Linked DNA regions of Ovis aries. The protein of the gene in region 2 interacts with the protein of the main gene of each other region in a pairwise test. Links are inferred from orthologs where the notes say so. Each region holds a gene or a part of one and is shown on either strand. Other genes may lie near its edges.

What was found. The genes of interacting proteins can lie anywhere in the genome.
Region 1: the proteins of RIN1 (region 2) and RRAS2 interact in binary tests that used the Homo sapiens proteins (3 or more experiments, as listed by UniProt). The link is inferred for Ovis aries from reciprocal best matches to the Homo sapiens genes RIN1 and RRAS2.

What each region holds. Positions count from the first base shown.
Region 1 is NC_056068.1:38,175,455-38,178,971, forward strand, and holds part of RRAS2 (ras-related protein R-Ras2), read left to right. Parts: intron 1-2,184; coding exon 2,185-2,272; intron 2,273-3,178; coding exon 3,179-3,281; intron 3,282-3,452; coding exon 3,453-3,517. UniProt on the Homo sapiens protein: GTP-binding protein with GTPase activity, involved in the regulation of MAPK signaling pathway and thereby controlling multiple cellular processes. Regulates craniofacial development.
Region 2 is NC_056074.1:40,814,699-40,818,739, reverse strand, and holds the start of RIN1 (ras and Rab interactor 1), read left to right. Parts: upstream 1-1,238; 5' UTR 1,239-1,280; coding exon 1,281-1,366; intron 1,367-1,510; coding exon 1,511-1,691; intron 1,692-1,788; coding exon 1,789-1,903; intron 1,904-2,002; coding exon 2,003-2,075; intron 2,076-2,220; coding exon 2,221-2,312; intron 2,313-2,477; coding exon 2,478-3,224; intron 3,225-3,497; coding exon 3,498-3,803; intron 3,804-4,041. UniProt on the Homo sapiens protein: Ras effector protein, which may serve as an inhibitory modulator of neuronal plasticity in aversive memory formation. Can affect Ras signaling at different levels. First, by competing with RAF1 protein for binding to activated Ras.

The DNA.
Region 1 (3,517 bases), on a different chromosome or scaffold from region 2:
CACATTAAGGGATAACTTGGGAGTCGTCATTGAAGCTTAGGTTTTACAAGATGAAAGCATGGCAGGAAGTGTCAGGTTACTATGGAGAAACATGTTTCAGGAAACTTAAGGTTTAAATACTGTGCTTTATCCAGGTTGTTTAGTGAAAGACTGCTTTCTGTGTTGTTTAGAATAGTGGGTACAAAGAATATTGTATTTACTTTTAGAAGAGGTGTGGGTTCCAGAGAGTCAGTTCAAAGATTGTTTTGATATCTGTTTATTTTAAAATGGGAATGGGGTGGTGATGGAAATGGCTTTCTACTCAAAGCCCCTCCTGTTGGTAATTTAAAAAAAAAAATCAGTTCAGTTCAGTCGTACAGTCATATCCGACTGTTTGCGACCCTGTGGATTGCAGCATGCCAGGCTACCCTATCCATCACCAACCCCCAGAGCTTACTCAAACTCCTGTCCATTGAGTTGGTGATACCATCCAACCATCTCATCCTCTGTTGTCCTCCTTTCCCTCCCACCTTCAATCTTGCCCAGCACCAGGGTCTTTTCAAATGAGTCAGTTCTTGTATCAGGTGGCCAAAGTATTGGAGTTTCAGCTTCAGCATCAGTCCTTCCAATGAATATTCAGGACTGATTTCCTTTAGGATGGGCTGGTTGGATCTTCTTGCAGTCCAAGGGACTCTCAAGAGTCTTCTCCAACACCACAGTTCAAAAGCATCAATTCTTCAGCTTTCTTTGTAGTCCAACTCTCACATCCATACATGACTACCGGAAAAACCAAAGCTTTGACTAGATGTACCTTAGTTGGTAAAGTAATGTCTCTGCTTTTAAATATGCTATCTAGGTTGGTCATAGCTTTTCTTCCAAGGAGTAAGCATCTTTTAATTTCATGGCTGCAGTCACCATCTGCAGTGATTTTGGAACGCAAGAAAATAAAGTCTCTCACTGTTGCTATTGTTTCCCCATCTATTTCCCAGGAAGTGATGGGACAAGATGCCATGATCTTAGTGTTCTGAATGTTGAATTTTAAGCCAACTTTTTCCACTCTCCTCTTTCACTTTCATCAAGAGACTTTTTAGTTCTTTGCTTTCTGCCATAAGAGTGGTGTCATCTGCATGTGTGAGGTTATTGATATTTCTCTTGGCAGTCTTGATTCCAGCTTATGCTTCTTCCAGCCCAGCGTTTCTCATGATGTACTCTGCATATAAGTTAAATGAGCAGGGTGACAATAAACAGCCTTGGCATACTCCTTTCCCAATTTGGAGCCAGTCTGTTGTTCCATGTCCAGTTCTAACTGTTGCTTCCTGACCTGCATACAGATTTCTCAGGAGGCAGGTCAGGTGGTCTGGTATTCCCATGTTATTAATAATTTTCCACAGTTTATTGTGATCCACAGAGTCAAAGGCTTTGGTGTAGTCAATAAAGCAGAAGAAGATGTTTTCTGGAACTCTCTTGCTTTTTTGATGATCCAACTGATGTTGGCAATTTGATCATTTAAATGAAGCCACCAAAAGGGAAATAGAATTATGGCTTAATTCTATATAACTAAAGTTACTCCAAAAATACAAATAAAAAATAGGGAGTATCATTCAAAATTAAAATAAATATGTAAAGTCAGGGTAGCAAGCAGATTAGTCCCTGCCCCCTCCCTCTCCGCCCCCATACGAGGAGTTTCTTTTAAAAAAAATCCTGAAATCATGACCTTTAGGGTAATACACAGGGCAACTGAAAGGGAACTAAGACAAGGTGTGAGAAAAGTGAAGAGACGATGAGGCATTGAGGCAGGCAGACTTCGTGTTGTCTCTTTTGTTCCAAAACGGTTACAGTTTGTTCTAAGGACTGATGCCTGCCTTTGGGTTGGAGATAGACCTGAATTACAGCTATAGGTGTGTTTCTAGTTTTCCTAGAACTTGAGATGTAGAGTTTTAGGTGTATATAAGTTAATTATGAAAAATGGAAAAAAACTGTAGTAGAGCTTTTACAATCTTCTTACATGTTTCAGATGCGAAAATTCAGAAATGTTTAGAACCCTTTCTCCACTTGGAAGCTGCTGTGAATAGATTTCATTCAATAGGGAATTGACATAGTAGGATACACTTTAATACAGTGAAAATATTTTGAGTTCTGGGTAACGTTATGTTGGTACTTGGGCAAGTAAGCATAAATTTTAAAATTATGGTATTTTTCTTACAGTCTTATTTTGTAACGGATTATGATCCAACCATCGAGGATTCCTACACAAAGCAGTGCGTGATAGATGACCGGGCGGCCCGTCTAGACAGTAAGTAACGTTCCTTTATTTGATGGTTTACGTATCATATTTTTTTAAGTAAGCTTTGAAGTTTTGCTAGGTTAAATAACTGCAGTTGAAATGTTAGATGATCTTGAATATAAGTTCATCTTTTTCATTAGTTTTAATCAATGAATCTACACGTTGGGCAATTTAAATGTAATATAAAACAGTAACTGGATTGAGAGCAGGTAAAATTAGTCATGTCACTGTAACTTGTTAGAGTTGTGTTTATTGGGACATTTGGAAAAAAAACAAACGAGGTTTTCGCTCTTCCTGCATTTTGATGAAGGCCCAAATGGGTGAGGTAAATATAGAAAAGCTTCAATATTTGCTAACTTGCTTAGAGTTTATAGCACAGAGGCCTTAGCAAATAGTGTTTTGTGCTTGGCTAAACATTCCACTCCTCCACAAGAGAAAGGGCTGTTCTTTTAACTTGTATGATTCTTCTCTTCACAGAGATCAATGAATACCTTAGCACCTGTACATTCAGTATGGCATTTGCGGGGGTGGGGTGCACCAGCATTTCCTTCTTGAATTTACAAGTATCTTTTTCAGTTCTTTTCACAGAGGAGGTAAATATCCAAGTGACTGTAGAGGTTATCTGAGACTGTCTGCCTATATGGATTTGATATTTTTAACCTTGTCATTGCTATGCTAATGTATTCTAACTACGAAATCAACCTGCACTGATGAAGATAACTCTGCGACTGTCTGCCATTAGAATACATTTGTCTTTAGCATTGAAAATAAAGTACTAAAAGGGGAATGCTGTTTAAAAAATACCAAGTGTGATGTTTTCCAAAGGATTCACATTAACTGGGCCTGCCCATGTGAGGGAGCCATTTTTGTGAGATGAACACGTGAACATCATTACATTTCTTGTTTTTTCTTTAGTTCTGGATACAGCGGGACAAGAGGAATTTGGAGCTATGAGAGAACAGTATATGAGAACTGGCGAGGGTTTCCTTTTGGTCTTTTCAGTCACAGATAGAGGCAGGTTTGTATCAGTATTTAACTGTAGATCTCTCCTGTTCATGTCTAGATCACTGTTCATTAAATTTGCATTCTTGTTTGTATAGGAAAAGGAAAAGTAAGAAAGCACTAAATGGGGCAGGGGAGTCTGAATTCTGATACTTGACCAAATTAATGAATTTGTTTTTGTTTTTAGTTTTGAAGAAATCTATAAGTTTCAAAGACAGATTCTCAGAGTAAAGGATCGTGATGAGTTTCCAA
Region 2 (4,041 bases):
TCCCCAGCCAGCCCACCACGCCCCCCCGCCAAAAGGTCGCCCTCCTTGGAGCCCTCCCTGATGAAGACATGCCTGTCTTAAGCCAAAGCAACATCCTTTCTTTGGACCTTGGACCCCAATCACTGAGTTGGGTCCCACTTCGCAGAAACTCTGAGCCAGAAATTATATTTGGGGGGCCTGTGTGTCCTGGCTGTTGCTGGAGTGACAAGGCAGGCTCCTCGGGTCTTCCTTTTCAAGGAGGTTCCTGGTGTCTGCCTCCCACATTTCAGGGACTGGAATTAAAACCTTTCCTGGGACTCTGGCACAACATGCATGTGTCTAATTTACCTTGCAAGGGAATCAGGGCTCTTGTGGAGAGTGCTTGAGACAGGCAGTCTCTGCTGGGGGCCGTGGTATCTCCTCCAGTGAGCGGAGCCTACCCCCTCTGACTTGGGGTATAGGCTGGGGAAGGGGGCATTCCCCCACACATCTGCTCCAGGTGTGGGGGGCTGGGCCCTGGACTGCCTGGTGCTGGTGAGCAAAGTCTGAGGCAACTTGTGGCACAAACCGAGCACGTGGCCTGGGTGCTCCGTGCCTAGAGACTGGATCATGTCTGCACCTGCCCCAGTCTCGGCAGATCGGCAAGGCAGGCTGGCAGATCCTGTGTGCGTGGGAGGCAGCCAGCAGCAGCACCATGTGCTGACGACCTCACAGCCAGACTACCCCCCTGTTCAGCGCTGAGTGTCAGAACCACCCCCAGAACCTCCACTAAGCAAAGGGGTTAGTTTCCATGGAGACACAGCATCCTTTCTCCATGGCAACCTGAAATCCCCAAAACCAAGTTAAGCTCAGGCATGAGTCATCTGTGGCCAGTAGGGGGCACTCTCCCAAAAGGCTGACCTTAGGGCCAGGGACAGATGAGCAGTTGACCACAGACTTGAAGGTGCCCCAAGGGCGAGGCCCGTGGAGACCTTGGCGGGCCCTGCTTAACCCCTTCTTGCCCATCTGTGCGGTTCGAGGAGTCTGGCAAGGCTGCAGGAAGCGCCGTGTGGAGGTGGCAGCCCCACAGCTGGAACCCTGGGCAGGCCACCTGCATGGAGTGGATCCCTGCCCCCAGAGGCTGGGCCCAGAGCAGAGGAAGCAGACACTGCCCGGGCTGAGTGGACACACAAGAGTTAACTGGCGGGTGTGACAGGGCGAACCGCCCTCAGGAAGTGTTACTCACCATTGGGAATGTGAGTGCTCCCGCCTTGGGGGCTGGCTTCTCTGAGTCCCGGGAGAGACTGGAGGAGCTCCCAGCCATGGAAACCCCTGGGGAGCCAAGAACAGGCCCCCTCGGAGCCCCCTACCCAGCCAGCTTCGCTTCTGGGCACCTGGAGAGAGAAAAGTTAGTGAAGTTGGAAGGGCAGCCCCGGTGGGGTGGGGTGGAAGGTGGGGAACCCGAGCTGGGTCTGTCCCAGGGCCAAGGAGGGGGAGACGGTTGGGCAAATCCCTGCTCAGGTCTGGTGCCTCCACCCCGCACCCCGGCCAGGCCAGCCCAGGACCCGCGGTACGATGTGCCTGGTGCCAGCGGGGTGCAGGCAGGTGGATCGCAGCGGCCAGGGCGCACCGTGAGCCTGCGGGAGCGCCTGCTGCTCACCCGGCCCGTGTGGCTGCAGCTGCGGGCCAACGAGGCTGCCGCGCTGCACGTGCTGAGGACCGAGCCCCCCGGGGTGAGTCTCTCCCCACCCCTGGGGCTGGAGGCTGAGGGTAGGGGGGCGAGGGGCTGGACACAGAGGACCCAAGCCTCTGATCCCTGTCCACTCGCAGACATTTCTGGTACGGAAGTCTAACAGTCGCCAGTGCCAAGCCCTGTGCGTGCGGCTGCCCGAGGCCAGTGGCCCCTCCTTCGTCTCCAGCCACTGTATCCAGGAGACCGCTCGGGGTGAGAGGGACTGGCCCGGCCGGGCGGGAGGGGCTGGAAGCATCAGGTCGGGGCGCAGGGGGGTGCTCCCAGAGAACAACCTCACTTCCCATCCCTCAGGCGTCTCCCTGGAGGGCTCAGACCTTGTGTTCCTAGACCTGGTTCAGCTGATCTGTGCCTACTGCCACACCCGGTGAGCCTGCCTGCAGGGCGCCTGCTCTCCACAGGGCCCTGGTTCCCTTCCTGGGACACCTTGTCCTCCTTGCCCACGGGCACTCCCGGTGCCCGCCACCCAGAGCTTTCCTCACTGCCCACTTTTTGCTCCCCTCTGGCCTCAGGGACATTCTTCTCCTCCCGCTTCAGCTCCCCAGAGCCATCCGCCAGGCAGCCACCCACAAGGAGCTGGAAGCCATCTCCCATCTGGGCATGGGTAAGGGCTCCCGGGCTACCCACTGCACAGATGGACAAGCTGAGGCCAAGAGGGAGAGGGAAGGTGAAGGCACACAGCCTGAAGCCTGGGCCTTTCTCCCAGTTGGGTCCCCTCCCTGAGCCTCCCCACCCCCACCCTGAGGCCCAACCTGTTTCTCTTCCCTAGAGTTCTGGAGCTCCTCCCTCAACACCAAGGCTCAGCTAGGCCCATCGGAAGGCCCCCCACTGCCCCGGCTGAAGCCCCGGCCCCCACAAGAGCTGGACCAGGGCACCAGAGCTGCCCTGTGTTTCTTCAACCCCCTGTTCCCAGGGGATCTGGGCCCCACCAAGAGGGAGATATTCAAGAGGAGCTTCAAAGTGCGTGTGTCCACGGAGACCTCCAGCCCCCTGTCTCCCCCAGCTGTGCCGCCTCCCCCAGTTCCGGTGTTGCCAGGGACAGCCCCCAACCAGACAGAAAGGTTGCCCCCTCGCCAGCTGCTACGGAGGGAGAGCTCGGTAGGGTACCGGGTGCCAGGGGGCACCAGCCCCAGCCTCCCGCCGCTGCCCTCCCTCCAGGAGGTGGACTGCGCCTCCCCCAGCAGCTCAGAGGAGGAGGGGGTGCCGGGGTCCCAGGGGAGCCCAGCGACCTCACCCCACCTGGGCCACCAGCGGCGGCGGCGACCCCTGCTTCGGTCCATGAGCGCTGCCTTCTGCTCCCTGCTAGCGCCTGAGCGGCAGGTGGGCCGGGCAGCTGCGGCGCTGACACAGGACAGACACACGGCCGTGGGACAGCTGGTGCAGGACCTGCTGACCCAGGTGCGTGCCGGCCCCGAACCCCGGGAGCTGCAGGCCGTCCGCGAGGCCCTGAGCCGGGCCCGAGCCATGCTGAGCGCGGAGCTGAGCCCGGAGAAGCTGCTGCCACCAGACAGGCTGGGTGAGACTCCAGCATGGGGTCCACTGTCTCCAGAATTCAGCTTTTCTGCCTTCCTCTCTCTCTGCCTCTCAGGGCTGGCCTTTCTCAGCCTGTTCTTCCATGTACACCCACCTTGTCTCTGCATCATTCAAGCAACTTCTACCCACCGCCTCTCTCCCAGTCACAATGATTCCTCCTCGTTTTCATCCCTCTCCCCTCCTGAGCATGCGCTTCCTCCCCGGGACCCCCACGCCACCCCGGTTCCTCTGACCGTTGCCTGCCTCTCCCCCACAGAGCACGTCCTGGAGAAGTCGCTGCACCGCTCAGTGCTCAAGCCGCTGCGGCCCATCCTGGTGGCCCGCCTGCGGCGCCGGCTTTCAGCCAACAGCTCCCTGGGCCGCCTGGCTGAAGGCCTCCGCCTGGCCCGGGCCCGGGGCGCCAGCGCCTTCGGGTCCCACTTAAGCCTGCCCTCCCCAGTAGAGATGGAGCAGGTACGTCAGAAGCTGCTACAGCTGCTTCGCGCCTACTCACCCAGCGCCCAGGTCAAGCGGCTCCTGCAGGCCTGCAAGCTGCTCTACACAGCCCTGAGGACCCAGGCGGGTATGCCCCCTCCCACCGGCCACTGCCAAGTCAGAGGCCACCGGGCTGAGGCCCTAGGAATGGCACAGCAGGGAAAACAAAGGAAAAAAAATACATATATGTATGTGGATCCACCTCCCCATTTCATAGATGGTAATACTGTGGCCCAGAAAGCAGAGCATCCACTCCCCATCCATTGCCCCTGGTTGCCTGGCAGGCAGAGGGAGGGTCGTTGTCTAAGATAAGTAGCTGAGGATCC